4 linked regions of the Ovis aries genome follow. The protein of the gene in region 3 interacts with the protein of the main gene of each other region in a biochemical or structural test. Links are inferred from orthologs where the notes say so. Each region holds a gene or a part of one and is shown on either strand. Other genes may lie near its edges.

Region 1 (7,815 bases), on a different chromosome or scaffold from region 3:
TTGGAAGGCATCATCGACTCAATGGACATGAGTTTGTGCAAACTCTGTTAGACAGTGAAGGACAGGGAAGCCTGCTGTGCTACATTCCATGGAGTCACAAGGAGTCAGACATGACTGAGCGACTGATCAACAACAGTCATGTGAGCCAGTTCCTTAAAATAAACATCTTTCTCATTTATCTATATAAATATATATTAGTATATATATGTGTATATATTCTCTTTCTCTCCATATGTATATATACTTCATTTCTCCAGTGCAACAGAATCAATAGGATGTATGTATGTATGTGTGTGTGTGTATATCTGGGATTTCCCAGGTGGCTCAAGTGGTAAAGAACTCACCTGCCAGTGCAGGAGATGCAGGTTTGATCCCTGGGTCAGAAGATCCCCTGGAGAAGGAAATGACAACCCACTCCAGTATTTTTGCCTGGAGAATCCCATGCACAGAGGAGCCTGGTGAGCTACAGTCCATGGGGTCGCAGAGTCAGACATGACTGAGTGACTGAGCATGTGTGAATGTATATGTATATCCAACATCCTATTGATTCTGTGTCTCTAGAGAACTCTGACACATCCTGTGAGCCACGTGGGAAGCTCCTAGCTAATAGAGCCACAGATACCAGAGGGTGTAGATGTGAATGCAGACTCTGAGACTGCTAAGACCAACTGGGAATTGTATTGTTGCCGTGTGGGGAGTGATGCTGCAAACATCTGGACTGCTACACTCCTCTTTGCATCCTTGCACAGCACAGCTTCCTCATGCCCCTATCTGGCCCTGTCCTGCCCACTGGGGAAGGTGGGAGGGGCAGCTATCATTGTAATAGGCAGCATACGGGAAGACTGACCGAGTCCTGGACACAGGAGATGAGGGTTGGAGCCTAAAGCTCTGACTTCACGCTAGGCATCTCCCTAGTGGCATTTGAGATGCCACGGGTGTGATACTGAGGTCTCAACAAGCATCCCATAAACTCTGATTTTGTGAGAGGCAGCGTGGGCCACCGGAGAGTGCTCCTTCAGCCTCTTTTCCATGCACCAGTCACTAGGCGCTGTGCTAGGTGCTGAAGACAGACACAAAGCTTATGTTCCAGCGTGCAGGGTGAGTGCAATGGAGAAAAGTCACCTGGGGATGTAGGATGTTGCATCTGTAACATTACAGAGATTCTCTGGGAGACACAGCTATGCAGGGGTCAGATGCACATGCGCAAAGGCCCTGGGGCAGGAATGTGCCAGGTGTGAAGAATATTAAGAATTGCCAACAAAGCCCTGCCCTCCCTGGCTACTGCAGACCTCCCCCCAGAGCCACAAGAGCTGTCCTCTGTTCCCACGCTCCTTTCCTTCTTCAGGGTCTCTGCACATCCTGTTTCCTCCGCTGAGTGCACTCCTCCTTTGGGTCTTGGCATATGGAGAGTTTGATCTGACTTCTCATTCCCAGGAAGACCCCATATTATGATCTCACCAACCCCGGGGCTTTTCTTCCAATGCACTTAGATTTTCCTGTCAAGTATTACTAGTGTGATTGGTGGGGGAGATCGTTAGCTGAACTCATGGACTGTTTGCTCCAAGGGCCAGAACCCTGCCTGCTCAGTGCATCACCGCACGACTAAGACCAGCTCAGCGCTTCTGGGTATTTTGGCTGGGTCAGGTCTTAGTTGCAGCATGCAAGATCTTTTGTTGCAGGGCACGGAATCTTTAGTTGTGGCTCTTGGGGTTGTTTGCTCTGCAGCATGTGGGATCTTATTTGCCCAACCAGGGATCAAACCTGCCTGCGTCCCCTGCATTGCAAGGCAGATTTTTTCTTTTTTTAAATTTATTTTTAATTGGAGGATAATTGCTTTACAATGTTGTATTATCTTTTGTGCAAGGCGGATTCTTAACCACTTGATCACCAGGGAAGTCTTCTGCTCAGCGTTTAAGATGTTGAAGGCACTTTAGAAATATTGCTTGAATGAATGAGACAGGCCGAAGTCTAGACCTCACTTGCCCATTTCCTGTCCATTACCCAACGTCACAAGCTAAGTCACCGAGAGCTTCTCCATGGCCTGTTTTCATGGATGCCTCATAACCAACCCTGTGGAGATGAGTGGTGTCACTGTTTTCACTTTACAGGTGAAGAAACAGAAGTGTAAACTTCTGTAAACTTGCCTGGCATCCCCCAGGTACTAAGGAGAGTCAGGTTTTCAACGCAGGTCTTTTTGGCTTCAGGCCAAGATATTAGCTGCTGCTTTATGCTCTAAGGGCCTCACCTTGGGCTTGGAAAGGCCCAAAGTGCTGGTGATACACACTCCATAGAAGCTAATATATTTTCAATTAAAAAAGAATATTTTTAAGGTGTCTAGTGTGTTGCAGAGGGTGGCCCCACACTAGATATTGGGTATTCTTCACTAGGGACTAAAATTGACAACACTGCGCCACTTAAATTGAGGTTAGGGAGACAGATACTAAAGGGGTTACCCAAGAAATGTGAAAGAAAAGGAGGTGGTGATCAAAGAGGGGGCAAGGCCAGGGGAGGTGATGAGTCAGCTGAGACCTGAAAAATGAGGGGGAAGGCCTGAGAGAAGCAGGGGTAGGGAGTCACAGGCTCCAGGACTTGGCCCTGGGAACCGTTTGTCCAGTTGTGGGGCTAGAAACAACGAATACAGACTCAAGAGATACTCTCAAAATTTAAGAGATGAAGCCTCCTAGTCTCTGGGCCTTCACACTTGGAACAAAGCTCTCTCTCTCTCACTGCTTTTATGTCTTGACTCAAATGTCTTCGCAGAGAGGCTTTCCCTAGCTGCCCCATTTAAAACTTCCCCGACCCTTCACGTGTCCATTTCAACACAGTGTATTTTACTTAAGTTTTCTTGCCTCGCGCCTGCCTCTCCCACTAAACCATGAGCGCCACAGAGGCTGAGATTTCTCTTCGGTACTACAGTACCTCAGTGTGGGGCAGGTCAATAGATTATCTGCTAAACTAATAGCCCTAGGTAAGTTGTGCGGAAAAGATAGCCACGGTCTTTGCGTAACAGGCTTTGCCGAACGGGCACCGCCATCATCCGAACATCGACCTGCACTTGGCCCAGGGGCCGGCTCTGCTCATCCCCGGCCCCAGCCTGTCCGCCTCCTGCCTTCATGCACGACCTTGGAAGCCTCACTTCTGAGTCTCAGGGGCCCTCGGCCACGCTTTCCCCGCAGACCTCTCCACCACCCACCCCATCCCCCAACCTCCCGCTGCCACCTCCACCTCCACCACCGCCGCAGTGCCGCCTGCTCTGCGCATGCTCGGCGGCTTTGAGACGCGCGGCGTGCGGGAACGGAGACCACCGCGCGCAGGCGCATGACCGTCCCACACAGAGTCGGGAGGCGCGTCGGGCGCTCTAGCTCTCTCTGGCCCCACCCACCTCTCCCAGACAACCCCGGCGAGACGCGCACGCGCCCTAGGAGCGGAAGGGCGGGCGGGCACGCGCACGAGGACGGGCCAGCAGCGGAAGCGAGTGGGAGTTCGTGGTGGGGGGAGGGGAGGTGGCGAGTGCGCGCGCAGCGGGGGCGCGGGCAGCGTGGGGGGGCGGCTGAGGCAGGCGGGCGCGCGCGCGAGGCTTACCCTCGCTCGGCGGCTGCGGCGGCTGCTTCTTTGTTTCGTGAGGAGAAGCGAGAAGCCCATTCTGCCCCCGGCCCCGCGTGGAGGGGCGGGGGCGGCGCCGGGAAGGCGACGGCGCCGGCGACTCCCGGTAAGGAACGTGGGTCGCGGGGGGAGCGCGGCGCGGGGCTTGGGAGGACGGTTTGAATGGAGCCGGGGCGCCGAGGGGGGAGGGGGCCGCCGGCGCCCGGAGCCGGGCCGGGGTACGGCGGCGCCCGAGGGTCAAGAAGCCTGACCGGCACCGCGCGCGCGGGGAAGGCCACAGGCAGCGAGGCCTCGGCGACTACAGTATCCGCGGGACGGCGGGGTGGGGGCCAGGGCCGCGTGGAGGCCGCGCGCCCCCCGCGCGCGCTCTCGCCGGGGTCGCTGGACAAAGCGCGTTGCCCCGTCGGCGGTCCAGGGGCCCACATCCCGGTGTCCGCCGGGGCTGCAACAATAGCCAGACGTCCGGGCTTTTCTGGTTACGTTCTAACGGGTCCGACTCGAATGTTGCCTTTTGGCGAGCCTGCAGTCGGAGCTCAGTAGGAAAAACCCCAGGTGTGTCCAGCGTCGCCCGGACACGAACATTAGCAGCCCCCCTGGGTTAGCCGACCTGAATGGTTATTTTTTTAAAAGTCACGTCGTTTTAGATTTTCAAGGAAAGGTAAATAACTCTGCTAACCCCTTGCAAGTAGTGACTTGAGAACGTTTGCCCTGAAGCCGGGGGTCGGCAGCAGTGGGGAAGGACGGAGAGAACTGTTTGCCGTTAAAAGCATTGTTTTAGTTTTGCGTCCTTACCCCTTTCTGCCAATCGATTTTCCAGATTAAGGTTTTTATTTAAAACGCGAATCTTTCAGGAGAAGGTATTTTGTGAAGGTCTTGAAGACACTAGTCTTGATATTTTCCCCCCCTAGTGAATCATTGGGGAAAGTAGGGAATAAGCAGTGAGAGCCACTTCCTAAGAATTTGAAACAAGTTTTCACTTTTAAATGACAGGCCTGATTCAAGTTTGACTCCTGGCTGTTGCTGGTCACTTCGCTGTGTGACAGGAGGCAAATAGCTTAATCTTTTGGAACTTCTCAGTGTCCTCATATGTGAAATGAGAATAATGGCACAGATGGAGCCGGTGAAAGCCTGTAAAATGGTTCCTGTCAAGAGGGAAGCACTATCGTTGTTGTTCAGTCCAGTCTCTTCCATTCTTGTTCAACACATACTTGTTGAGCCCCAGCTGGGTGTTTGGTAGTTGGAGGTTGGGTGCCCAGAGCAGCCTGTTCAGTCTTGTAGGGGAACAGGTGGTAAGTGTGGGAACAACTAGAGGCCTGTCATGTGTGAGGAGCACAGCAGATTGGTGCCAGTGGTGGGAACCAGAGATCAGGTAGCTGCATGGAAGAGGGGGCTTTTACTCAGGGTTAGGGAGGACCCCCAGGTTGTGTTGGACCACTTGGGACCAGTCATTGCTCCCCTCTGCTGCTTTTGCACATGGTCATCTTGATCCTTTCTTGTGTTAGGAGTTACTCCTGTTTGTAATTACACATCTCTTCTCCAAGGGCCATCAGAGCTGTCTGTGTAATCTCTTTTAGTGTACCCTGGCCCAGTGTGTAGTAGGCCCTTAGGGAACATTTGTGGATGAAGGAGGAGGGTACTCTTGAGGATTGAGTAGCCCTGTGTGTGAAGTGCTTGGCCCAGGACTTGAGGGCGAGTTGCAGACAATAAATATTAGTTGCTGGCGCTGTGTTTTGCTTTCTTTTTTAATTTTTTTCTAAAGCTTTCCAGGCCATTTTCCCCAAACCTCATTCCCTCAACAGTAAGGGTGTGGGGTAGTAGTTAATAGGAGGTGGTGTTATGGAGTGCTAGTTCTGGAATTAGACCTCCTGGATTCACAGTCAGCTCTAAATTCTAGTTTGACCTCAAGCAGGACACTTACCAGTAGGTCCCCCAACTTGAGAAACAGATAAGACAGTGGTGCCAGCTCAAAGAATTGTTGTGAGGGTTGGAAAGATAGTATGGGAAGTGGTTTAACACTCTCTAGAGTCTGGCATGTAATGAGCTCTCAATTTTTCGGAGGTGGTTTTGTTCATACGTATGTATTTGTAAATTAACTGTTCAGAAAACTGAAAACATGAGTCATTCTGTATCCCAGAAACCCCAGGTTTGATGTGCTGGTTATATACATTTTCCTAATTTTCTTTAAACTCAATACATATACGATTATGAAAATAATAAGTGTTCCTCCTCATGCCACTTGAAATCATTTGTGCCCAACCCTTCAGGGGGCTTCCCAGGTGGCGCAGTGGTAAAGAATCCCCCTGCCAATGCAAGAGACCTAGGAGACATGGATTCGGGACCTGGAGGAGGGCTTGGCAGCCCACTCCAGTGTTCTTGCTTGGAGAATCCCATTGACAGAGGAGCCTGGTGGGCTATAGTCCATGGGGTCACAGAGTCGGACGTGATTGAGCGCACACGCCAGCCCTTCAGGAGATGTTGATTTTGCAGGTGTTTTTTGGGGGGGTGTTCATCGTGGGGTGACCTCATCATAGCTTTGGTGCAGGGCAGTGCAGTGGTTCCAGACTTCCTGTCAGTGAAAAGCACTCCAACATAAACACGTATTTATTTTTTTAAAACACATAATTTATTTATACACCTTTGCCTCTCTTGTGGGTCCTCAAAACATTGGGAGGTAACCGTAGACCAGCTCTCCGTCCCCACTGTTTATCTGATGTGGGAGAGTGGGAGGGACTCTGTGTATTGGGTGAATATCCCTTGAGAACGTTCTGCCAGTGAAGAAACTGAGGTCCAGGCATATTTCACCAGGGCCTCTGGGGTTGAACATCCAAGTCTGACTCCTGGGTTGGCCAGTTTCCCTTTTGGTGCCTCCAAGACATGGGGTGAGTCCTCAGACATGGCGACTGGTTTTGGCCGGCTCATCAGGGCTGCCGTGGCTCGGAGGGCATTCAGATTGACCCTAGACAGAGCACAACGCCCATGGCGCCCCCTGGAGTTGTGCGGGAAGTGGCCCACCCCTGCATTCCCCGTTCACATAGGGAACAGGCATGCACCTGCTGTGAACCTGGTGCTGTTGGGGGCTGGGGGCTCAGCCAGGAACAGGCAGACAAGGACCCTGTCCTCATTCACTCGTGCCCATCTCCTTACTTGCGAAGAGGGCTGGTCCAGTAATAGTACCCAACTTCTACGATTGTTGCAAGGACCAAACAACAGCAAAATGATGGATGACCAATGTTAAGTGCTTAGGAAAGAGCCTGACACACACGAGTAGACAGTTTGTCACTGTTGTTATTTATTAGGATCCCAACAACATCCTAGCGGGTTAAGATACAGAATAGATTTTTGCCCCATTGCAGTAGTTCCATATGTTTTCGAAGTGGTAGGAAAGGAATTGGTGCCTCCATTCTGTCCTTAATAATTTAAAAATGCTGTGCTTTGCAGTTTCACCATACGGCACTGGAAAGAGGGAAGTGTGTTAGGTGGCTTGGATTTTGAAAAATGTAAAAGTTCGTTTTCCCTTTCACATATCTCCTCGTAACTGGATTGGAACACTGGAGAATCAGAGTTTTTTTTTTTTAAAAGAATGCACAAAACCTACTCTAAAAGGGAAGTAACAGCACTCGAATATTGGTGAGGGGAGAGGTCTGAGGGTGAATCTGTGAGAACTGAGTTGAGATCATGTGAACTCTTATCTTCCAGGTGTCATCCCTAAGAAGCAGGAAGCTCATGGGTGTGATCAGTGATATCTTCGTGTTTGCTCTTGTGTGCTTAGTCATCAGTTGTGTCCAGCTCTTTGTGACCCCCATAGACTATAGCCTGCCAGGCGCCTCTGTCCATGGAATTTCCCAGGCAAGAATACTGGAGTAGGTTGCCATTTCCTACTCCAGGGGATCTTTCCAACCCAGGGATCGAACCCCCATCTCCTGTGTCTCCTGAATTGCAGGCAGATTCTTTCCTTGCTGAGCCATTGGGGAAGTTTTTCAGGATATGGATTTGATGGGCATGAGAAAGTGGGCCTCTGCTCATCTTCCTGAGTGGGAAGGGGCCTGGAGCTGCCTCCAGGCAAAGCTGGGTTTCTTGGGGGATTCCGTTTCCCACAGCAGAGGGAAGGGAAGGGTTGTAGTCAGTTCCCCTCAGGGAATGGGCTTTGTTGTCCTGGCCCCTTCCTGAAAGCCAAGACTGGTTTCCAGAGCTTGGTTTTGGGGCTCCGTTACT
Region 2 (7,833 bases), on a different chromosome or scaffold from region 3:
ACACAAGAGACTATTCACACAATTACTCATGTAATCAAACTCAGAAGTGCAGCACCAACCAAGTCTTTTACTGCTGGTCTGGAACTACCAGGATGGTATCTGGAATTATCTATTGAGGTGCAGTGAGGCCTCAGAATTCCCTTAAACAGTCGAGTCATAGAACGCTCTAAAATCTCAGAAGTCAAAGTCACAGTATTACTCAGGTTTGCTGGGCTTAGTTGCTCTGTCGTGTCCGACTGTTTGCAACCCCATGGACTGTAGCCTCCTGGGCTCTTCTGTCCATGAAGATTCTCCAGTAAAGAACACTGGAGTGGGTTGCCACGCCCTCCTTCAGGGGATCTTCCCAACCCAGAGATCAAACCCAGGTGTCCCACATTGCAGGCTGATTCTTTACCATCTGAGCCACCACGGAAGCCCGTGAATACTGGAGTGGGTAGCCTATCCCTTCTCCAGGGGATCTTCCTGACCGAGGGATCGAACCAGGGTCTCCCGCACTGCAGGTGGATTCTTTACCAGCTGAGCTATTACTCAATTAGCTATATAATAAAAATCAAACCGGCATCCTGGCCGGGAGGCCCTAGAAGAGCCACAACTTTTCACAGTTGCCTTTTTTTTTCCCTTGGTAAATTGCATTTTTATTTGTAAACTGAGGGACCTAAACTAAGGTTCCTTCGAGCTCTGAATTTAAGATCTCTGATAACTCAAGATTTCGTGGAGAAAAAAAAAGAGCCAGCAAATGAGAGCACTTAGGTGAAGACCCAATACAGCAGTGAATTGCAGGTCTATATATATGTATATAGAGTGCCCCCAGCTCTTACGCACCGAAGCCTTTCTAAGGCTTGATCCCGAGAGTCCAGACTTCTGCAGTATAACAAAACAGCTATGCTCAAGACATTCACACACCAGCAGAACCAACGTTAACTGTGCCTTGAAGAAGTGAAAAAGGCCAAGGCTTTACTCTAACAGAATGGTCACAACGCCTCTTAAATATGGGAGTGGCCATGCCCTGCTCTCACTCTGTTCCCCCCCCCCCCGACACCATACCTACCATCAAAGAGGTAGAACCAAATATTTTAAGCAAAGGTGTACAAAGCAAGCTTTCAACAGGAAGGGGCTCCATGCCAAAGAAAGGCAGAAGAGACCAGGTAAATGCAGAAGAGCACAACTTTTGTGTCAGTGAGTCCAAGGAAAAGAGACTTTACATCCATCCTACCCAAACTGAGGTAAAGGCACAGTGGTGACAATGACAGTTTCACTGGAAGGCACTGGTACAGAAGCACTGAGAACAAGGTCCTCCAACTGGAGCAGTAATAATGCTCTACCCAAGAAAAAATGGTTGTCTGCCAGCCACACAAGGCTGGTCTGCGTGCGCATCACCAACAAAGGGTGGGGAAAACAAACAGGTGTCTGCCACGCTCCCTGGAACCACCAGTCTAGGACTATGTTTTACCCCCTCTGTGCTTGAAACACTAGTTACTGCAAAAGTCAAATCCTTTCTATAATATTCTTCTCATAGATAACTCGGGCAAGCTGGCCACAAACTGCTCTTAGCCAGTTAAAAGATTTTCACTGATATTCACCTTTACAAAAGATCACGGGTTCCAGGAGACATCATTTATCATGTAAATAATCCCGGGCAGGTATATTAACAGTGGAAACCGCCCTCCAGGAAGGAACTAACACTTTTCCATCGGCTCTTCTTTATTCTAGGTTCAAGAAGCAAGGTTCTCATTCCGTCTCCACTTGGGGGAAGGGGTATTCAGGAGGAAGATATCATCATATTGGACTCCTCTAGCCAATTCTTCTGTCAAATTTCACAGCGTGCCTCCCCATCCCACTAGATTCAGCCACAAAGAGGCAGGGCCAGCCAGCAAACAAGGGCTGTGGCTGGAAATCGCAAATAAAATGCAAAACAGTACTCGAACCCTCTTGCAACATAAGCAGCACAAAAGTTGGAGTATGGTTGGACTGCATCATGCTCTGTCAGGTGAAACAAAGACCTGGGATTCTAGGTTGCAAGCATTCCAGGCAAATTTGTATTCCAGGCAAATGAGTATGGTGTGTACTGGCAAGAAAGCCATAGAGAGTTTCCTCAAGCTGTTAGGACACCATGACTTCAGATGCCACCAGGTACTTTGCAGACAAACTATATTCTGGAGGCTGTGGGATAGGGGTATGATGGAACAGCTCACTGGAAGGGCACCCGAGGCGGCTAACGCACTGACAATGATGGGAAACGAAACAGAGCCCTTGCCGGTCACATCTGAGGCTCAGATGTACAAACCTTGGAATCTTCGTTAAGTGAGGCTTGTGTATCTGTGTGTGCAGACAGGAATGCACCTCAGTGATCAGCCCCCTCGCTGACATGCCACGAATGGGTGTTCTGTGGCAACTTATTCAATCAACTCTACACCTCTGTGACTGATTGTGCCCTTTAAGGTTCTGATACGTCCGGGTAAAAAATGAAAGCAAATTTTTTCCTAGGTTCCAGGACTAGGATTTAGAAGTCCTTCAAAGCCCATAAATAAATCTATTTCCCTAAATCCCTAGTGGAAATTCCCAAAAGACCTAAAACTAAAAACCAGATTTTAAAAAAACATAAAGATTCAGCATATTTCAAAGGACCCAAGAGGTTAATGGCATTCTTAGTTGAAATCGTTCAGATGCAGATGAAAATTCTGACGGTGGAACCCAAATTTCTCCTGGATAGCAACTGCCTGTTAATAATGATTTTTGCTACCAAGGCCGATATATGCTTCATTTTTGTAATGTAACAAAATGCCTAAAATTTGCCAGAGTCCTCAAGTCTTAAGCCACTCAGCCTCACAGGCCAGTAGGTTCGGTTCTGTGATCACCAACCACCCACAGAATTCTATGCTACCATCTCACAATTTGGGGCACTGATCGGCACAACAGAGACACAACTCTGAATGGCTTTGCAGCCCGTTCCTGTTCCTGAAAAACGAGAAGCACACATCTGCCTGACCATGAGTCAGGAATATCAATTTTGTGGTGGAGCCCATTTCGGCTGTGACCAATCCACACCGAACACACTCACAGTAGAAGCGACGGCCACAGAGGTGTATTCCACAGCCAGCCTTCCCCGCCCTTGGAATCCACACTTAGCAAGGCCATGAACGGTCTCCTCTGTGAAAGCAATCTTTTAAACTCTTCACCATGACCTTAAGTCTTCAGTGCAAAACCACAAAAAACATTGCCACACCACTAATCAGTCACCTGAGTTTCAGTATGGGTGACTCAGAAGCAAACTAGAAAGAAAATAAACTTTCAGGGACCAAGCGATGGGCACCCCGGCGATGCGGTGAACTTGCCCCATCTGGTACTGGTGATCTTGAGCCGGGCGCGCTCCGGGACTATGGAAGCCCGTCACAGACTGAGTCCCACTCCACTTATGTAACTGGAAGATCGCCGGCGAAGCGGGGCGGGCGGGGGGGAAGGATGGGAGGGCGCTCGTATTCTGAGGCCATGCCCCCCCCCCCCGCAAACGCCCTGGGAGCGTGCTCCCATCGAAGCGCTACGGGTGCTGCCGGACACCCCGTCCCCTCCCCACGGCTCCTGATGGCAACTATCACCGCCTCTTTCTGATGAGCTCTGGGGCCAAGAACACAATGTCTAGTGCCTTTTGTGGGTGGACAATAATTCCCACCTACTTGTTCTTGCTAGATGCGAAAGGAACTCGCTCGCGGCGGGGACGGTGGGGGGGCAGAAAGTCATGGAATGGGCGAGAAGGAGGGGGAGGCAAAGCCTGGAGATGGGGGCGACTGCCCAGGAGCCCTTGTGGCGCACTCTCCCGACGGGAGGAGAACTGCGCACGCGCGCCAGTGGGGGGGGCCGAGTAACGGGAGAGGGGCGCGCGAGGGAGGGAGACGGGAAAGCGCGAGCCAGGGAGAGGCCGGGGGCGCGGGCGCGCGACGGCGCCGCGGGCCCGAAGCCCCGCGAAGGGCACGACGCGCGCGCAGCCCCGACAGGCGAAGCCCCGGCGACAGGGGTGCCCGCGGGGCCGGGGGGCCGGGATGCGCGCCGAAGGCGGGAGGGTGGGGGGAAGCAGGCAAAGGCAGCCTGAGGAGGCCGCGCCGAAGACGGTCACCCGCAAGTGCGGGTAACGGGCCGCCGCGGGGGGGGGGGTGCCGTCACCAGCGGGAGGGGGAGGGTAGAGAGGAGGGACGCCATCCGCCAGCCGTGTCGCCCGACCCCGCGGGCCCCTCCCGCGCCACGTCCCGCCCCTACCCCCCGCCCCCCAGCAAGGGTCCCCGCCCGCGGCCGCGGCGGTCCCACTCACAGTCTCTCCTCCTCGCCTCCTCCTCCTCCTCCGCTCGGCGCGGCAGCGGCGGCGGCGGCCATTTTCCGGACGGCTTTTACCACAGCCCTCTCTCTGAGAGGAGGGAGCGCGCGCGCCGCCGACGCCGAGACCCCGCACGGCCGACGTCGCGCCCCGCCCTCCCGACCGGCTTGCGCACAGCTGCACCTGCGCGCCTGCGCCCCGCCCCCGATGCTTCAGCGAGCTGGCGCGCCATTGGATGTGTTGGCCGGGGTGGGGCGGGGCCTCGGTGGCGACGCCCCCAATTGGCGGGACTCGGTGTCCGTTCCGGCGAGGGAAAAGGGGGCGGACGCCCCGTCTAGCTGCCGATTGGCTGCCAACGGCCGTCATTTGGGGAAAAGAGGCGGCTTGGGCGCCGAGGGGATGGTTTAGTGGGCGGAATTTGAATATTAAGGATTAATAGGCCTTTGCGGATGCTGGGGCAAGGGAAGGCCTAGGTTCCGGACGCCTGTTTGCGCGACCATCCCGGGCCCTTGACCTGCTGTCCGCAAACACACAAAGTACATTGCTATAAGCCTCCCGCAACACCCGCATTTTCTCAGTATCACCACATTCAGTAGAAGCAGCAAAGTTGCCTGACATTGTTCCAGACAAGAACCTTGGGTTTACGAGGCCTACCGAAGGCATTCTTTCATTTGAGCCTACCGTATGCCACACTCTCAGAGGGGCAGGGAAATAACTGAACAACGAATTGTAGCCTTCACCTTCTTGCAGCTCTGGTGGGGCAAGAGGGTGCATGCCAAGGCTTGCACGAAACCTGTCATGGTTGGATGAGATGGTTTGGGGTGAGTGGGAAGAGGGGGCAGTGGAAACACAAAGAAATAAGCGCTCGGCCCGGAAGAGGTGATTTGGGACTTAAGATCCAATAATGCTGGTATAGAAAAATATTTAAGAGTATGGAAAAAGTTTTAGCTAGTGAGGGCTTCCCTTGTGGCTCAGCTGGTTAATATCCACCTGCAAGGCGGGAGACCTGGGTTGCATCCTGGGGTTGAAAAGATCCCCTGGAGAAGGGAAAGGCTACCCCACTCCAAGTATTCTGGCCTAGATGGGGTCTCAAAGAGTCAGACACGACTGAGTGACTCATTTCACTTCACTTTAGCTAATGGAGTGTTCAGGATAGTACTGTCTGTCAAGGCGACTTTACTCTGATTCCAGCTATCATCCAATCCATCCAATGCTCTTTTTGCTACTTCTTCAGTTAAGAAGGAACCGTCTGATTCTGATGTGATTCCCTACCCCACCCCCATTCATTTATTAAATCCCTGTTATGTACCAGGCACTGTTCCAGGCTCTGGATGCAGAGTACTGAATAAGTACTTAACATTCTTGTAGGGGAAGATTCAGAGTGAACATACAAAAAGTATAAAATAAAATGTCACATAGTGATAAGAATTTGAGGTAGATAAAGCAACAGTGAAAGGGGTGCTATTTAGATGTCCACCGGCTTTTGCTCTCATTTTGTTCCCCCATAGGGTTATCTATGACCAGTGTCTTCTCCTGGCAAAACTCAGTTAGCCTTTGCCCTGCTTCATTTTGTACTCCAAGGTGAAAATTGCCTGTTACTCCATGTATCTCTTGACCTACTTTTGCATCCCAATCCCCTATGATGAAAAGGACATCTTTCTCTGATATTAGTTTTAGAAGGTCTTGTAGATCATAGAACCAATTGACTTCAGCTTCTTCAGCATTAGTGGTTGGGGAACAGACTTGGATTACTGTGATGTTGAGTGGTTTGCCTTGGAAGCAAACAGAGATCATTATGTTGTTTTTGAGATTGCATTTCTAACTCTTTTGTTGACTGTGAGGGCTGCTCCATTCCTTTTAAGGGATTCTTGCCCACAGTAGTAGATATAATGGTCAACTGAATTAACTTCACCCATTCTGGTCCATTTCAGTTCACTGATTCCTAAAATGTTGATATTCACACTTGCCATCTCCTGTTTGACCACACCCAATTTACTTTGATAAATGGACCTAACACTCCAGGTTCTTATGCAATATTCTTCACAGCATTGGATTTTACTTTCGCTGAAATCAGATTGATTATATTCTTTGCAGCCAAAGATGGAGAAGCTCGATACAGTCAGCAAAAACAAGACCTGGAGCTGACCGTGGCTCAGATCATGAGCTCCTTATTGCAAAATTCAGATTTACCTTGAAAAAAGTAGGGAAAAACAATAGGCCATTCAGGTATGATCTAAATTAAATCCCTTATGATTATACAGTGGAAGTGACAAATAGATTCAAGAGATTAGATCTGATAGACAGAGTGCCTGAAAAACTATGGATGGAGGTTTATAACATTGTATGGAGGCAGTGACCAAAATCATCCCCCCCAAAAAAATACAAGAAGGCAAAATGGTTGTCTGAGGAGGTCTTACAGACAGCTAAGAAAGGAAGAGAAGCAAAAAGCAAAGGAGAAAGGGAAAGATATACCCAACTGAATGCAGAGTTCCAAAGAACAGCAAGGAGAGATAAGAAAGCCTTCTTAAGTGAATACTGCAACAAAATAAAGGAAAACAACAGAACGAAAAAGACTAGAAATTTCTTCAAGAAAATTGGAGATACAAAAGGACTATTTCATGCAAAGATGGGCACAATAAAGAACAGAAATGGTAAGGACTTAACAGAAGCAGAAGAGATTAAGAACAAGTGGCAAGAATACACAGAACTGTACAGAAAAGGTCTGAATGACTCAGATAACCACGATGGTGTGGTCACTCACCTAGAGTCAGACATACTGGAATGTAAAGTCAAGTGGCCCTTAGGAAGCATTACTACAAACAAAGCTAGTGGAGGTGATGGAACTCCAGCTGAGCTATTTCAAATCGTAAAAGATGATGCTGTGAAAGTGCTGTACTCAAATTTGGAACACTCAGCAGTGGCCACAGGACTGGAAAAGGTCAGTTTTCATTCCAATCCCAAAGAAAGGCCATCCCAAAGAATGTTCAAACTACCACAAAATTGCACTCATTTCACATGCTAGCAAGGTAGTGCTCAAAATCCTTCAAGCTGGGCTTGAACAGTACATGAACTGAGAACTTTGAGATGTTCAAGCTAGATTTAGAAAAGGCAGAGGAACCAGAGATCGAATTGCCAACATCCATTGGATCATGGAAAAGCAAGAGAATTCCAGAAAAACATCTGCTTCATTGATTACGACAAAGCCTTTGACTGTGTGGATCACAACAAACTGTGGAAAATTCTTTAAGAGACAGGGATACCAGACTATCTTACCTGCCTCCTGAGAAACCTGTATGCAGGTCAAGGAGCAACAGTTAGAACTGGACATGTAACAATGGACTGGTTCTAAACTGGGAAAGGAGTACATCAAGGCTGTATGTTGTCACCCTGCTTATTTAACTTATATGCAGAGTACATCATGGAAAATGCCATGCTGGATGAGTCACAAGCTGTAATCAAGATTTCGGGGAAAAAGATCAACAACCTCAGATATGCAGATGACACCACCCTAATGGCAGAAAGTGAAGAGG
Region 3 (7,190 bases):
CGGGACTTACTATGGGGAAGTAATTTATCCCAAAGTCAGAAATCTTGCAGAGAACAGTTATTTCTCAACCAACATTCCACAGAATACCCTAGAAAAGTAGACTCTCTTCTTTGGCCAGCTAAAACAAAGTGAAACAAGTTTCCCTGCTACAGGACTTCTGAGAATTGTCATTATGCTAATGCAAATGCGAATGTCCAAGAGCAGAGAACTTGAGCAACAATGGATGCTCCTCTAGACAGAGCCTGGAAGTTCCAGCAAAAACAACTGACTGAGCCTCTGGAAGAGAGGAGAGAAAAATCAAAACCAGCACTAGAACTGAAGGATATCCTCCACCTCGAAGACAAAAGTTAAACACTACTGGCAAGAAGGCAAACACCTTCTGCCAGCTCTTGAGAGGAAGACTGGGGAGGAACAAGAAAATCTGGGCACGTGTGACTGTGCAGTGGATAAGTTTTTCCAGTGGTGATACAGGACCAGATTTTTAGGAGCGCCATGGACTTCGAGGAGCCTGGGGCTCAGCCCTGGCCTCCTCGATACCTACAGCCTTATTTTAGGTGGGTTCAACAGCCCCTCTATACTTGGTTCGAAGGTTGGTTAGAAGAAAGAAGACATTCTTGAATTTTTATGGGACGCTAAGGCTTTTTAAGTAACATATCAATTTCATAAAGACAAAGTGATTTTTCTTATTAAAAAACAAAAGATGTGAACATCGGTTAGTACTAAGTGGCAGGAAGGTGGGTGGCTGTTTTCTTCTTTGTTCTCTATTTTAAAATATCCCCCTAAACACACAGAGCATTCCAGTATGGACTGGAAAGGCTTGTTCTCTGCTGTTGGTGACACAGAACCCCATCAAGAAGTTCCACTATCCCACACTATCCACCTGACTTCCTACAGCCGCGGTTGGAGAGAAATGGAGGTCTCAGGGAAAAACTGGGCTGAAAAGGAGAATCTTATTTAATGGGACACTAAATCTGTTGAGAAGTGCACTAAAGCATGAAGGGCGTATGCACTCAGGTACCTTTTAAGGACAATTGGGACAGCAATGGAAGGGTTCTTCCTCAGACCATCAATGATGTCAGCTGCTTTGTCAGCATATATCCTTTGGAGTGCTTTTCGGTGGATGACTTCCGATGTGCCCCCGAGGGTGTTGTCCAAGCGAAATTTAGCTTGTTCTTCGGCAGACAAGCGGGAAAGTTTCTTCTGTATTGCTTCCAGAACCCGGATAGTTGCCAGATTGGTCTCTAAAACTACATCAAGCTATTGAAAAAAAAAAAAAAAGACAGTGTGCTCAGGACCCAAATCAGAACAGAATAGCTGTCAGGAGTAGAAGGTAGAAGTCAAACTCCCTGGATTTGAATCTGGGCTCTGCCATACCATAGCCATATAAAACTGTTAGCTTATCAGTAAGACAGGAATACCACCACCTACTCTCACAAGGTTGGGTTCTGGATTTAACAATACAACCCACATAAAGGATTTAGCACAATACCAGGCACACAGCAAACATCCAAACCCTGAATATTCACTGAAAGGACTGATGATGAAGCTGAAGCTCTAAAATTTCGGCCACTTAATGCGAACAGCTGACTCACTGGAAAAGACTCTGATGCTGGGAAACATTGAGAGCAGGAGGAGAAAGGGGGTGACAAGAGAATGAGATGGTTGGATGGCATCACCAGCTCAACGGACATGAATCTGAGCAAATTCAGGGAGATGAGTGAAGGACAGGGAAGCCTGATGTGCTCCAGACCACAGGGTCACAAGGTCGTCTTAGCAACGGAACAACAACAAAGCAGTAGTTGATACTTCTAGCGCCACCAATGTGGTTTATTGAGGATGACCGGCCCCCATGCCAGAGGGACCTAGGAGGAGGCAACCTTACTGACACTTTCCCCTGAACTTTTGTGAATTACTCAGATCTGTTACAGACAATAACAACCACTACCACCAAATCCCAAAAAGATCATTCAAGATATTAAATCAATCTCATGAGTAAAGTTTTTCAGAGTAACTTGAGATGTTTAAATGTTTAATGTCTTTTTGCACATCTACTAACAATAAGAGCATTACTTAAGGGCTTCAATGTTGTATTTGTGAGTAACCATTTAAATTTTCACTGAATATTTCTGACACTTTATTTTCTGGCAAGGGCCAAGCCTAACCTGGTTAAAGACATGACTAGCAACCTTGAATTAACTTTTTTCCAAAGCTTAACACAAAATTTTCCAGATGAGAAACAGAAAATAAAGGAAATAAGCAGTCTCAAGAGTCCATGACTCTGTATAAGTGTTTCCTAATTTTCTAGTTTGAGGACTATGGTAGTCATTTTGTCAAAAATTTTAATGCCCCCTTTCCCCAGTTATGGATAAACGATGGCTTGGACTTCCTGGCTGCCTTGAGATTAGCTGCTGCTGCTAAGTCACTTCAGTTGTGTCCGACTCTGTGTGACCCCAGAGAGGGCAGCCCACCAGGCTCCCCCGTCCCTGGGATTCTCCAGGCAAGAACACTGGAGTTCAGAAAACTGCCATTTCCTTCTCCAATGCGTGAAAGTGAAATAACTTGGTCGTGTCCAACTCTTCGAGACCCCAGGGACTGCAGCCTACCAGGCTCCTCCGTCCATGGGATTTTTCCAGGCAAGAGTACTGGAGTGGGTTGTAGGGCCGTGTAACTAGCTCTGACCTATGAGCTGTTAACAGGTGAGTCAAAGTAACATCTATTACTTCTAGGCTAGCGCATTTAAGGGTGCAAGATCCATCTGAGCTTTTCTCCTACAGTCATGGATACTGTTCATGATGGTGCCACTCTGACAGCCCAGGTCCCCAAGCAATTCTGATGAGTGGAATCTTCAGCTGAACATCAATGCACATGCAGTATGATAAGGAAATAAATCCGTCGTTTTCAAGTCACTGGGATTTAGGGGTTGACTATATTACAGGAATATTAACCAATCCTGATGCATAAAGGATTCAAATTAGTCTATCCCATCCAATCCTCAGCATGTACATGTGCATACATACACACATTTCTTTCATCTTCACTACTGCAATAACAAGCAGGAAATGAGGCTGATGCCTCTCCTGTGCAGGGATACTAGTTGAGAATAAGAATATCCTGTCAAAAACAGGCGTCAATCTCTGCTAACCCATCACTGAAACTGACTAAACATAGGTTAAAAAAAAAAAAAGAAAGAAATGCTTTCTTCAGCTTGATAAAACTTTACACAGAACTTAATATCTGTCATGACTGAGTTTTCTGCAAATGGTCAAAGTTCCTCATAAACACGGGCCCAGCGGACCAACCAACATGTGGTTCTTCATTCAAAACACGCCAGAAACAGGGGAAGCAAGTGTGAAGGGGAATAACTGGCACAGAGCTAAATCAGTATGGGTTAAAAAAGGAGCAAAACATCTCCCACCCATAGGAAGAGCAGGGACAGTCAGTTTTATATAATAAACACATTAAAAAGGAGGCATGTAATTTTCTCTCTCTAGACACATTTAACATTCCCTTTTTGTTGATATCGGTGAGCCAGACATTTAAACACACTGGGAACTGAGTCTGTTTCCAGTACTCCCACTCCTGGTATCAGGGCTCTGGACCAGCTCATTTCTTCACTCCAGCTCTTTCCTTCCCAACTACTTTAAAATGAAGTCCCTAACTCAACTTCCTTTCAAAAGGAGACAAATCAACATCAGAAATATGACAGAAGAGTTTCATTTCTCACAGGAGAGCTAGTTTGCTAACCATGTTAGTAAGATACCTGCTAAAAATAAAAAACACTTTAAGATAAGCAATTTAAAACAGCTTCCAGAAAGTTTTCCACTAGGTCTTAAATTACTGATTTTAAATACTATGTACAACACAATAACCTTTAAAATGTCATTAAAAATTCAAAGGAGTATTATTCAGCCATCAACGGATAATTTCAGTTAAAAGGGCTAAAGTGGCCTTTTAGATAAGTCACATTTGTTATGAAAATATTACTAATATACCTGACAAAGTCACAAAACATGGTAAATACAAGAAGCATTTACCACAGAAGAATATGAGCCTCTTGCTCTTTGGTCTTAAAAGCCAGTCCTCTCAGGTAGGTATTTAAGATATCCTCTTTCAGAATCTCTCATTTCCCCAAACTTCAAATGATAAAGGAGCTTGTACCTCAAAACGTTCATCTTCACAACGATAGATATGTTCTTCATACTGAGTTTTCTTGGAACTAACAAAGGTGGAGTCCTCAGACCAGGAGGGGAAGGAAACCCAGGTATCATTTAAAACCTTTGGGTAAAAGAAGAGAGATTGAAACAAAAGTGTAACAAAATTTTCTGGTGATTAAGCTTTCTCAATTAAAAAAGACAAAACTTTAGGGGAGGGAAGAAACAGTTAACATTACAAGTTTCACCCATAGCAAGTGAAACTGTGTAGCAAGTTTAAAAAGATAGAAAAAAGTTCTCAATATAAGTACAAAACATTTTCTTTTGAAAAAAGACAGGAAAGGATTTTGATTTCTTCATTCGTATAAATTCTCCATCCCACATACCACTTCCTTCTGGAGGAAGCTGAGGACTCAGGGCTGATGCCTTCCCTGGAAGGCCTTACCTCTTTACAGAGAGGAGTCCGTCCCGTACACTTGGGCTGCTGGTAACTCTTCGGTAGAGCTCGATAGCTGGAGCCCAACCGTTTACAAGAGGCATAATCTATCTCCATGGCAATGCCCTCTGTGGCCCGTTCCTTTGGAAAGGTTTCCAGGTGTACAGACTCCTTATAGCCCAGAAAGTTTTTAAACCAATTAAACAATTCTGGGAATTTCCTAAAGAATCAAACCAAAAAACTGGTGAGCAATTAGAAGTATTATGCAGTAATGCTGAGGTGTGACTACCACTATTTGATGTAGAGTCAGAACTTTGCTATCACTGGACAAATTCCAGTGACAATTATTACTTCTTGCCTAATAAGTACTGCTTTTGAATACCTGGCTTCTCCTTTTCTTACAGAGTGCTCTAAGATCAGTCAAGGTGGTGGTGCAAGAACTATACTGAAACAAGGCAATAACCAGCCATTCTTCTAATCAACAATATTGTTTCAAAGTTCAGATAATTCTTTGGTTGTCAAAGTCAAGATTCTAGAACCCTGGAAGAGACTGGTCTATATAAAACATCCAACATTGGTCAGGGGATCAGGAGACCAGTAGTCTTGGCCAATGTGCCCTCTGCCAATCTTTTCATCTCCATAGTTGAACTAGAAGACTTCACAGAGGACTCTCTTAGCACTAACATTTTATGAGTCAACTGACCCACCACAATCAAATTAATTTTGTCTATCATTTACTTGCACAAACTAAGTTTTATTTTACTTCCTTATCACACACCAGGGCCAAGCTCCTGACTCCACTTACCCTAGGAATGGAGAGACTAACTGCACAAGCTCCGCCCGAGAGATCACCTCCTGGTTAAAGATAACAAGACAGCGCAGGAAATTTTCATAGGCCTCTGCACTCCGCAGAGCCTTTCGGACCTTATGGAGACAACCGAAAGAAAAATAATTCAGTGAGAAATCAAGAGATCCTGGCTCACTTTTAAAAGACTGGGGAAACTTGAACTGTTATTTGATGATATTAAGAATCAATTTTGTTTTTTTTAGATGTGTTAATGCTTATGTTTGAAAAAAGGAGTCATTTAAAAAGGAAACTTAGGGACTTCCTTGTTGGTCCAGTGGCTAAGACTCTGTGCTCCAAATGAAGGAAGACCAGGTTCGATTCCTGATCAGCAAACTAGATCCCACGTGCTACAACTAAGACCAGATGCAGCCAAACAAATATTAAAAAAAGAAAGAAAACTTAGTACTCATGGGTGCAATATTGTATCATACGAGACTTGTCTCCAAATAACCCGGGGTAGGTGAGAGTGCACATGGAGCAGGCGCAGCAGCTGGAGCTGAGGCCCGCCGAGGCTGGTGATGGGTGCACGTGCTGTCATCTCACCACTCTCTCTAATTTCACATGCTTAAAAATGCCTGTAACAAAAGTTCTGAAAAAAGAGGTCCTGGAGTACACAAGACGTTTACTTCTCACAAGCCTGATTCTCTGAACCATAAGAGTGTTGCCCAAGCTTTGGTTGCTTCGCCTAACGGATGTTTACAGAATCTTTTCAACACTCTTTTCAAACTCTGGTAATCCTGACTAATAACCTTTTAAAATAAGCGACTTTTGTTCTCTGGCTTGATCTGTTTCCTTTCTCCATTTCTCCTTTCTTCACAGTGCTGAGAATTTTAATAACCCAAAACACTAATCATTTCCCTGAATTATCAAGCAAACTCCGGACTTTCTTTTAGTATGTCTAAGAAATAAGTACCTCGAAAACAACAACAAACACCATCACTATTTTTAAAATTAACTTGTTCAGTCCCCTCCCCTCACCCTTTCCTTGCCATCTGTTGGCTGTGACCTGGACTTTCACATTTGCCTCAAAAGCACCAAGTGCCCAGGCAGCCCTCAGAAATGGTTCAGATCAGAGTCATGGACTCAGGAGGCACCAATCATGGAGATACTAAGTGATTTGCCCTTTTGCAAAAACCCAGAGGTGCAGGACTTTCCTGGTGGCTGGCTCAGTGGTAAAGAATCCGCCTGCCAGTGCAGGAAACATGGTTCAATCCATAGTCTGGGAAGACCCCACACGCCTCAGAGAAACTAAGCCTCTGGGCCACAACTGCTGAGTCCACGCATTCTGGGGCTAGTGCTCCAAAATAAGAGACGCCACGGCAATGAGAAGCCTGTGCATCACAACTAGAGAGTAGCCCCTGCTCATAATCAAAGAAAAGCCCTCATGACATCAAAGACCCAGCGCAACCAAAACTTAAAAAAAAATCACCTGTGGAGCTCTGACAACATACAGTTAAATCAGAATTCCCATGACCCAATATTCAATACCACAAATAAGTTTCACAAGCAATCAGAAGGTTACAAGCCATTTAAAGTCCTCAACAACTGGTGCACTGACGTGCTTCACTATATACACCTGGGTATCTACAATAGAAGCACAGTAGTTTGAGAGTAATATCATGCACTTCCTTTATAGCTTTTTTCCACAAGGCAAATGCTATATTTTGCTGCAAACTATTTCACAAAATTAAAGCAAACAGTGTTACCATTTCTCTAGTTGTGCTAACAGTTCTCAAAGATGGCAAGGACCTACAAT
Region 4 (7,852 bases), on a different chromosome or scaffold from region 3:
CATAATAAGCCCTTAAAATGAAATGTCAAAATATTACCGGAATATAAAGGGTACCACAATGATCTCTGAGAAAAGCATGAAATGTGTTTTTATGTTATCTTAAACTTCATCAAAGAAAAAAGTTTTAAATAATTATCTCTTTGCCAAAGCGTTGCTTTCTAGTTATAATGCCAGAAATATTTTAAACAGAATCCAAACATTAACAGTATAACAGAAGCAGAGGCATTTTTGGGTTTTTTTGGTCAATTCCAAGCCTCAGGTGTTGGTCAAAGCACTTTTTAAGAAACTTGACGAGAAATGCTCAAAAACCACTTTAAAAAAATGAACAAAAGAAAAGATCTAAGGCTGCTTTGAACACACTCTGGTGGTGAATATTTTCTGTGAAACCCCACAGAGCAGCTAGTCCCTGAATTGGGATGTAACTGATGTCACTCAGGAGAAAAAAGCTTCATGGAAGGAGGCACCCTCTCACCTCTGCCAATTTTTTAAGGGTTCAGATACCCCAAACTCCTCTGATTTATTTTACAATATTCTTCACCTGACTTTTCTCTTTAATGCCCCCGACAAGGTAGAGGAGTGGCTGTGTACAGGTTTGCTTTTCTACTTCAAGTCACATCCATAAATATCTTTGATACCTAATGGTATCTCCAAATCTCTTCCCACCAACAAACACTCAAGTTGTTAGGAAGCTTTAAAAAAAAAAAAAATTGTCTAGGAGAATAAAAGGACAATTAGATTCCTAAAAGAGAAAAAGGTGTTTTATCTGCATAACAATTCACCAACTTGGATTCAAACCTCTGCCACACCTCTTAACAATTCACCAGGAAGCTAGAGGTAAGCTAGAAGCCTAGCATAGCTATTATAGGCAAACAAGCCTGGGGCAGTGGTCCTGCAAATAAGATAATACTGAAACATTTGAATGTGCAAGTGTTAAGTATATACACACAACTAACACTGGGCATGGCTTTTGTTTCAGTACAGTTCTCAGAGGTTTCTGAGTCTTACTTAACACGCTTAGATAGAAATTTTCTTCCATTCAGTAATGAAAACAACAATCTTTCTGTGCCTACAAGCATTCTCTTCCAACAAGCACAGCACATCCAGGTGTAAATTAAAAAGTCCTTTGAAATGGAAGTTGAAATTTTAACTCTGCTACTGATGATACAGATGTCTTCCTTATGCCCTAACATCACACACAGTTAGGAACACAGTCTGCATAATAACCAGGAGATTAAGGATAGCACCTCTCAATAATATACTGACCCAGGTCGCTTTACTTTTTCAAATGCACCAAGCTCCATTAGGTTGAGAACGGAAAGAAGAAAAGGAAGGGGAGAGGGGGACCTTGCAAAACTCTCCCAAAAGTTATATAAACAAAGGAGGGGAGAAGCCCAGTATGGGCTTTGCACCCGTGTGCTACTAAAATTACATAACACCCGCTGCAGACATTAAGGAAGGAATGGATTCTGCACAACACCCCCATCCCCCTCGACTCCCATGCCTGCCTTCTGCTCTTCAAAAACCCAAACGCCTGGCAGGACCAAGCAGACGACTTCGAATATTTAATTTCTGGAGTAAATCCGGCAAAAGCTGGAGGCACGTTTAAGGCCTGAAGTTTGAATGTGCAACAGCCCCGGGGCAGAGCGACTCCACTCTCCGGACCCGGAGGAGAAAGAACTGACAAGGGACAGCAGCCAGCAAGGCCTTCTTCCCCTCGCGGTGCCTCCCGCTGGAAAGTTTTCCACGCGATCGATCGGAGGGCCGGGAGCCGGCTTCTCCCGCCCTCCTGACTTTGCAAGAAAGCCTGACCCGGAGACCGGAGGGGGCCGGGAGGGAAAGAACTGGAAAGCTCCGCACCCGGCAGGCGGCGGAGGCTCAGGCTCCTTACCTGGGGGACACGGAACAAAAAGAGGCGCGGGGCTAGCCTAGCCTAGCCTGCTGTGGCGGCCCTGCCAGCGGCGGGAGCGGGTCTCCCCGCCCAAGCCCTAGGCCGGCGCTGGAGCCCGCGGCCCGGCCCCCGCAGCCGCTGCCGCTTCCTCCCTCGCGCGCGTCATGTCACGGCGATCAAACATGTCTGTGTGCGCTTCGCTGCTGTGACTTCCTGATTCTCCGCTGCTCGCGCGCGCACACTCACAGCCACACGCACACGCCACCCCCACCACTCCTCCACCACCAAACCTCGCCTTGTCCTCCCGCGGCTCCCGGGCAGGGCACGAGCAGGAGCAGCTGCCCGCGCCGCTGCTCGCGACGCACCGGCCCCAGCGCACAACACACACTCACACTCACGCGCAGACACACTCGCGCCGGCCCCGAGGGCGCCGAGACGCGAGCTGCGGGAGCTCGCCGCCCCCTCCCACCCTCCCTCCTTCCTTAGTCTCCCTGCCAAACTTTTTTTTTTCCTGCCTGATCCACGTCCAACTTCCCTCCACCCGCCACCCCCACCACCCCCCCTACCAGCAGTCCGGCCAGCCCCGGGCTCACCAGGATCGGCTGCAAACTGCAACCAGGATAAAAATAATAATGCAATCCAGGCGGTGGAGGCGGGGGCGAGTGCGCAGACACTGGCGGGAGGCAATTTCCCCGCGTGTGCCGGAAACCGGTCCGAGTGTCGGGACCCAGGAGCGGTTGTCCCCCTGGAGCCCTTACTGCTGCGCCCCGCCCCGCGCGGTGCAACTGCGCCCAGGCTGCGAGGCCTGGTGCAGGGGACCCAGGGCGCCCCACTTGGTGTGCGCCCGCAGACAGAGGGTGACTAGGGGCTGGCGCGCCGGACTGGTTATTTGGGGAAGTGCATCGCGACACCTTTGCAGATGGCATGGCCGTGTTTTGCAACGCAACCGGGAGGAGGGAACACGGCGAGATGGAGGGGGAAGCAGAGGAGGGAGTAAACCAGGTTGGGATGGGAATAAAGCAAACTCGAAAGCAGGGAACAAGAAGGAAGCGGTGCGTGTCATCTCTGGGGGCAGGCTCCCTCCCGGTCTCCCCGCCTTCTGCCCTCACCAGCCTCCCCCCCCCCCCCCCACCCCCTACCCCGCGCCAGCCCTTCCCTTCTACAGCGAACACCACTGCACAGGGTGCGCGCGGGTCCTGTTTGTGACAGTCAGGCAGAGAGGATTATCCGGATCATGGCCTCCCCGGCCCGCAGCCACCGTGGCTCTCCTGGGCCCGGGTGCTCCCCTAGCATCCGGATGATCGCCGGCGACCCACGCCCGAGGTTCCGGCAGCCCAAGCTAGGGGAAGATGCAGACCAAAAGAAAACAAACCCGAGAAGGCGGAGGGCAGGATAACAGCCCAATGAGCACCTCCGACCTCCTTCTTCAGGACCTCCTCCCTCCTTTCCTCCCTCCCAGCAGTGTGGTCGCGGCTGGACACCCCGAACTTCAACACCCGAGCCCGCGCGGCCACCAGGTACCAGGGGCAGGGTCGTCCGCAGTGCCCCGGGTGCAGACCCCCGGCAGCCCCTTTGCCTAAAGGCCTGCCTACCGGTCAGCGTACCCATCCCTGCTCGCAAAGTGGAGGTGACACCTCCGATCCCGCACGCAGCGGCCCCGCGGCGGTGGCTGCCACTGCCTCGGCGAGCCAGCTCCGGCTTCTCCCATCGCGACCAGCTCCTGTCTCCGCAGCCGGAGCCCTTTAAACAAGTCCCAGGGAAGCTGGTGGCAGCCGCGTTCGTTGGCGCCCAGCCGTCAGCCCGGGCTCCTCGCCCTCTCCTCCCGCTCCCCTTCCAACTCTTCCCGGGAGGACTGCTCTAGTAGAACCTTAGCGTTTCCATACTCTTCCCGATCCTCCTGCCACCTCCTCCCCCCAACCCCAGTTTTTAAGGGAATGAGGGGATTGCAACCTTGCCGAGTGTGTGTGTGTGTTGCAACCTTCCGTTGGCAGCGCATCGCTGATTGCCTACCTAAGGTCAAGGCTGTGGTTTGTTGGGATTTTCCTCCCCTTGCATCCTTGAAGTAGTAATTATTACTATTATTATTAGAACAGCAAGCTTCGGTTGAAACTTTCGCGTTTCTTCCACTGCTGCCCGGGAGCTGTCGTTAAGAGCATTCCACCTGAGGCCCGCGGGGTAGGAGGCGGGCTTTTTTTGTTGTTGCTGCGGCGGTTGGCCCGCCTGTTTGTTTTGGTCTCCGTGCATGCACAATAAATAATAATTAGGTTAATAATGAATAATCCCCGGCGAAGGCGGCGCGGTGCCGGAGGGGTTTGTGCAGCGGCTGCAGCCCGGAGGCCGGAGGGAGGGGAAAGAGGAAAAAGGAGTTGTAAGTTATATTTACCTTGCTCGCGAGGAGTGTGCTGGCTGAATCTCTTCCCTCTCTGAGTCACCCAGAGTACAGAAACAGAGGGAGAGAGGACTAGATTATGAATATGACTTCATTGATGACAGCCATCCCCTCCTCTTCCTAAACTCCGGCTCCGCCCCGCGTCCCACCCTCACCGCCTCCGCGGGCGCCGGAAGACGCGCCGCAGTTGGTCCAGAGCGCCGCTCCTCCCTGCCCGCCCGGGCGCGGGTTGGCGGGAAGCGCCTGTCACTCGCCCCGCTCGGCGACTCCCGGAGCTCTGGGAGGGAGGAGGGGGCGGTATGCAAGAATGTGGATCGAGACAGCTCTACAGTATGCGTGGATCTGTGTGTGTCTGCAAGGCGCCGGCTCCCTGGCCGTGTTTGTGCCTGGAGCAGAAAAACTGCGCAGGACGCGGAAAGCCCCAAGCCCTGATGGAGGGAGTTGGACGCCCGTTATCCTTCCCCGGCAGTCTTCCGGGGCCCCTGCCGGCCTCCTCGTGGGAGGCTGGGAAGCGGAGGAGGCTAAGTGAAAGGGAGGGCAGCCGTAGTAATAGCGTGTAGTAGTTTAGGGGTATGGGAAGAAGGTGCTGGAATTTAACTGTGCCTCTGCCTGCCAGAGCGAGCCTGCGGAGGTAAAGGGAGGGGAAGGGGGGAAGGCTCCAAGTGGCACCCAAGCTGTTTGTAGCACAGTGTTGACCATGAAAAAAAAAAAAAAAACAGGCATCGACGTGCTGCCGGAAACTTTTTCTCCCCCACCCCGCCCCCCACCCAAGGCTGTAATTATCAATCTGTTCCTTTTCTCCCCCGTAAAAAGGAAGGAGGGCACAAAGAACATTCCTGCCAAATCTGTCTCTTTTCTAAAGGACTGCAAGCTTCCAAATGCCAATGAGGGAAAAACAGCTGAGAGGCTGAACGCTTTATAAATAAACAAACCCGCCCTAACCCCTGTGTTGACTCTGTGGACCAGACACAGCACTTTGACCTTCCCTCACCTATCATCTTCCCGTGAGATATATACCAAAAAACAAAGGAAAACAACCTCTTGGGGGCGGGCGGGCGATAGGGGGTAGTTAAAGCATGGAATCTGCTTTTGATTTAAGATAGGTAATAAATCTCTTATTCTCTCCCGTCTGACGTCTCTTCACCCCCAGCCCACATTTAAGACCAGTTACGGTTGCAGACAGCAAACTGCTGGCGCTCGGTGGGTTTGAGACCTCTCCTTCCTATTTTCCTTGAAATACAGTACTTTGGCTGGATGAATAGGTCAGCGTTTGCTGAGAGAATTTTATTTTATTTTATGAAGTGTGAAAGAATGTTAGGAGATTTTAAATCAGGGGCCTATTATTTTAGACTTAGATGAATGTAGGTGCTTGACTCAACATTAAAACTGTTCCTATATGGTAGTGTTATTAAAAGTATGACATAGCCCTTATTTTGTAATGTAACAGTTTAAATTACTCATGCAAAGTGCACTGTGACTATTTGGTTCAAGATTTCTCCCCCCTAGAGTAAAATCCTATTTTAACACCATTTTACTGTTGCGAAATTGGCTCTATTTGGGCAACTGGGTCTGAAATACAGTTCTAGGGCGCTTAAAATTGTGCAGTGGATAAGTTGAAGGCATGAAGCTGTGGAACAAACACTGCTGCAGCATGCTGCACGGGGTCATTAAATGGCAAGAATTGTTTATGTTGTTGGCCCATTGCTGGTGGAGGAAGAATCCTCAAGGGCACCGTTTTCAGGTGGCTGGGAGTGTCAAGGATCACCTACCTTGTAGTTTTCTAAGGCTTTGCTACTTGCTTGTTAACCTGAGCTTCATAATTTTCTATCTATCCCAAAGTGAAACTCAAGACAACAAAAGATAACACATATAAAAGAAGTAGAATATATTATGCCCTGAAGAATCTATTGTAAGAACTTGTTTTTCTGCCTGAGGTTATGCCAGTATAACTATTAACTAGGTGAGAAATCTTAAACAAAACTAGCAATGTAGTAAAAGCAGAACTTTCAATTGCCTAATAAATTTCAGCTAATAATATAGCCAGATAACCTAGTTGTCTATAAAAGGGCTTTAACCCAATGGTGATGCTTAATACATTAGGTAATATAAGGTTTTAATTTGGGCTGGAAGGGGGGCGGTGACCCATTTCCCTGGCATGCCAACCTTATATGCCAATTTTTAGAAATTGATGACTTCATCTGAATTCCCTTGTGAGTAAGTGCCCTTTATCCCTTTTAAGAATTCATTTTCACCTGCTATCCCAAATTTGAAAGAGAGAACAATCATTTTAGTGAGATACTAGCGGAAGAGACTGGTCATTCCTTCTGGTGTTTTGTCAGATGGAAAGTAAAGACTAAAACAATACTCCTTTTGTTACATGTGTATATTCTTCAGTTCATGTAAAATTTTGATGCAGTACTTGGCGGGATTGGTATCTGTGCATTACATGCACAATGATGGGGATGGAAAAATAAAATCTGTCACTGGGAGCAGAGATTAAATATAGATATTGCATCTCCCTTTCCCTTCACATTGGTCTAAGAAAGCACCACCTTCACCCTTCAAGTCTTTACTCTGAAGAATTGTCTTGTTTGTAGCTTGCACTGCAGCAAGTAGGAATTTTATAAAATAAGGCCTACACTCAGGAGAAATGAAAAGGCAGCACCTTTCAGTCAGCATGAAAAGAAGATTGTAGAACATATAGCGTGAATTTCATCTCCAAAGGAAGGTAAAATTTAACAACTGATATTAAGGAGGAAAATGATGGGATTGTTTTGTTTTGCAGAAAATCACACAAAAGCAAATAGGGTTGGCGGCTAGAAGGACTCCGGGAGGCTGCACAGGATGCTAGGTTCACACAAAGCTTTTCCTTTTGGACTTTGATGAGTCATAATGTCTTCTCTGAACTTGCTTTTCTCTTTCTAGTTTGACATCAAGGAAGAGATGTCATTTTTTTCATGTCTGTATGGCTACATTCACTTGTTATGTAAGTCGGCCATGGTTGACATCCTGCATAGAGTAGACACTGGGTTTGAAAATTGACATCTACCTACAGCACCCTCTCTCTCTCTCTATATATATATATATATGCACAAAGTCAGGAAGCTTCAAGTTTCATCCAGCAAACTATTCATGCTGGCTGAAATGTGGTCTAGCTTCAAACAGGAGCAAGTAAGACCATTTAGGGAACGAGGACTTCATCTACAGTAATGGAAACTAAACTTTGACAAAGTGAATCAGGCGACATTTAATTTAGTGAAGAGTTCAGAATTAGCAAGTGGATTTATTACAGAAATAAACACTTCTCTCCTTTTTTCTAATCAACAGTCAATAAATTTAGATTCTCCACAGCTAGTCCTCCAAAATACCACCCCACTTCTCTTTGTGATCATACCATCCTCTAGTTCAAAAGCCTCTGTCTATTCCCAATCCATTCTGTGATGAATTTCAGACCTCTTAGCACGTCAGCCACAGCTGTGCAAGGACAGATCTCTACTAGCCTTCTTGATCTCCTGAAAACATGTGAGCTCAGAAAGCCTAGTTGACCTCCTGGCAACTAAGGGGCCAGACTGGAT

The links. The genes of interacting proteins can lie anywhere in the genome.
Region 1: the proteins of SIN3A (region 3) and SMARCA4 form a complex in vitro, tested with the Homo sapiens proteins (2 studies listed by BioGRID). The link is inferred for Ovis aries from reciprocal best matches to the Homo sapiens genes SIN3A and SMARCA4.
Region 2: the proteins of SIN3A (region 3) and MECP2 form a complex in vitro, tested with the Homo sapiens proteins (2 studies listed by BioGRID). The link is inferred for Ovis aries from reciprocal best matches to the Homo sapiens genes SIN3A and MECP2.
Region 4: the proteins of SIN3A (region 3) and SMARCA2 form a complex in vitro, tested with the Homo sapiens proteins (2 studies listed by BioGRID). The link is inferred for Ovis aries from reciprocal best matches to the Homo sapiens genes SIN3A and SMARCA2.

What each region holds. Positions count from the first base shown.
Region 1 is NC_056058.1:13,253,419-13,261,233, forward strand, and holds the start of SMARCA4 (transcription activator BRG1), read left to right. Parts: upstream 1-3,420; 5' UTR 3,421-3,709; exon of another isoform or gene 3,710-3,781; intron 3,782-3,851; exon of another isoform or gene 3,852-3,906; intron 3,907-7,815. UniProt on the Homo sapiens protein: ATPase involved in transcriptional activation and repression of select genes by chromatin remodeling (alteration of DNA-nucleosome topology).
Region 2 is NC_056080.1:80,215,559-80,223,391, reverse strand, and holds the start of MECP2 (methyl-CpG-binding protein 2), read right to left. Parts: upstream 4,396-7,833; 5' UTR 4,363-4,395; coding exon 4,301-4,362; intron 1-4,300. UniProt on the Homo sapiens protein: Chromosomal protein that binds to methylated DNA. It can bind specifically to a single methyl-CpG pair. It is not influenced by sequences flanking the methyl-CpGs.
Region 3 is NC_056071.1:31,075,246-31,082,435, reverse strand, and holds part of SIN3A (paired amphipathic helix protein Sin3a), read right to left. Parts: intron 5,512-7,190; coding exon 5,393-5,511; intron 4,808-5,392; coding exon 4,597-4,807; intron 4,276-4,596; coding exon 4,159-4,275; intron 1,258-4,158; coding exon 1,019-1,257; intron 1-1,018. UniProt on the Homo sapiens protein: Acts as a transcriptional repressor. Corepressor for REST. Interacts with MXI1 to repress MYC responsive genes and antagonize MYC oncogenic activities. Also interacts with MXD1-MAX heterodimers to repress transcription by tethering SIN3A to DNA.
Region 4 is NC_056055.1:70,272,047-70,279,898, reverse strand, and holds the start of SMARCA2 (probable global transcription activator SNF2L2), read right to left. Parts: upstream 4,396-7,852; 5' UTR 4,272-4,395; exon of another isoform or gene 3,899-4,271; intron 2,553-3,898; exon of another isoform or gene 2,455-2,552; intron 2,271-2,454; exon of another isoform or gene 1,889-2,270; intron 1-1,888. UniProt on the Homo sapiens protein: ATPase involved in transcriptional activation and repression of select genes by chromatin remodeling (alteration of DNA-nucleosome topology).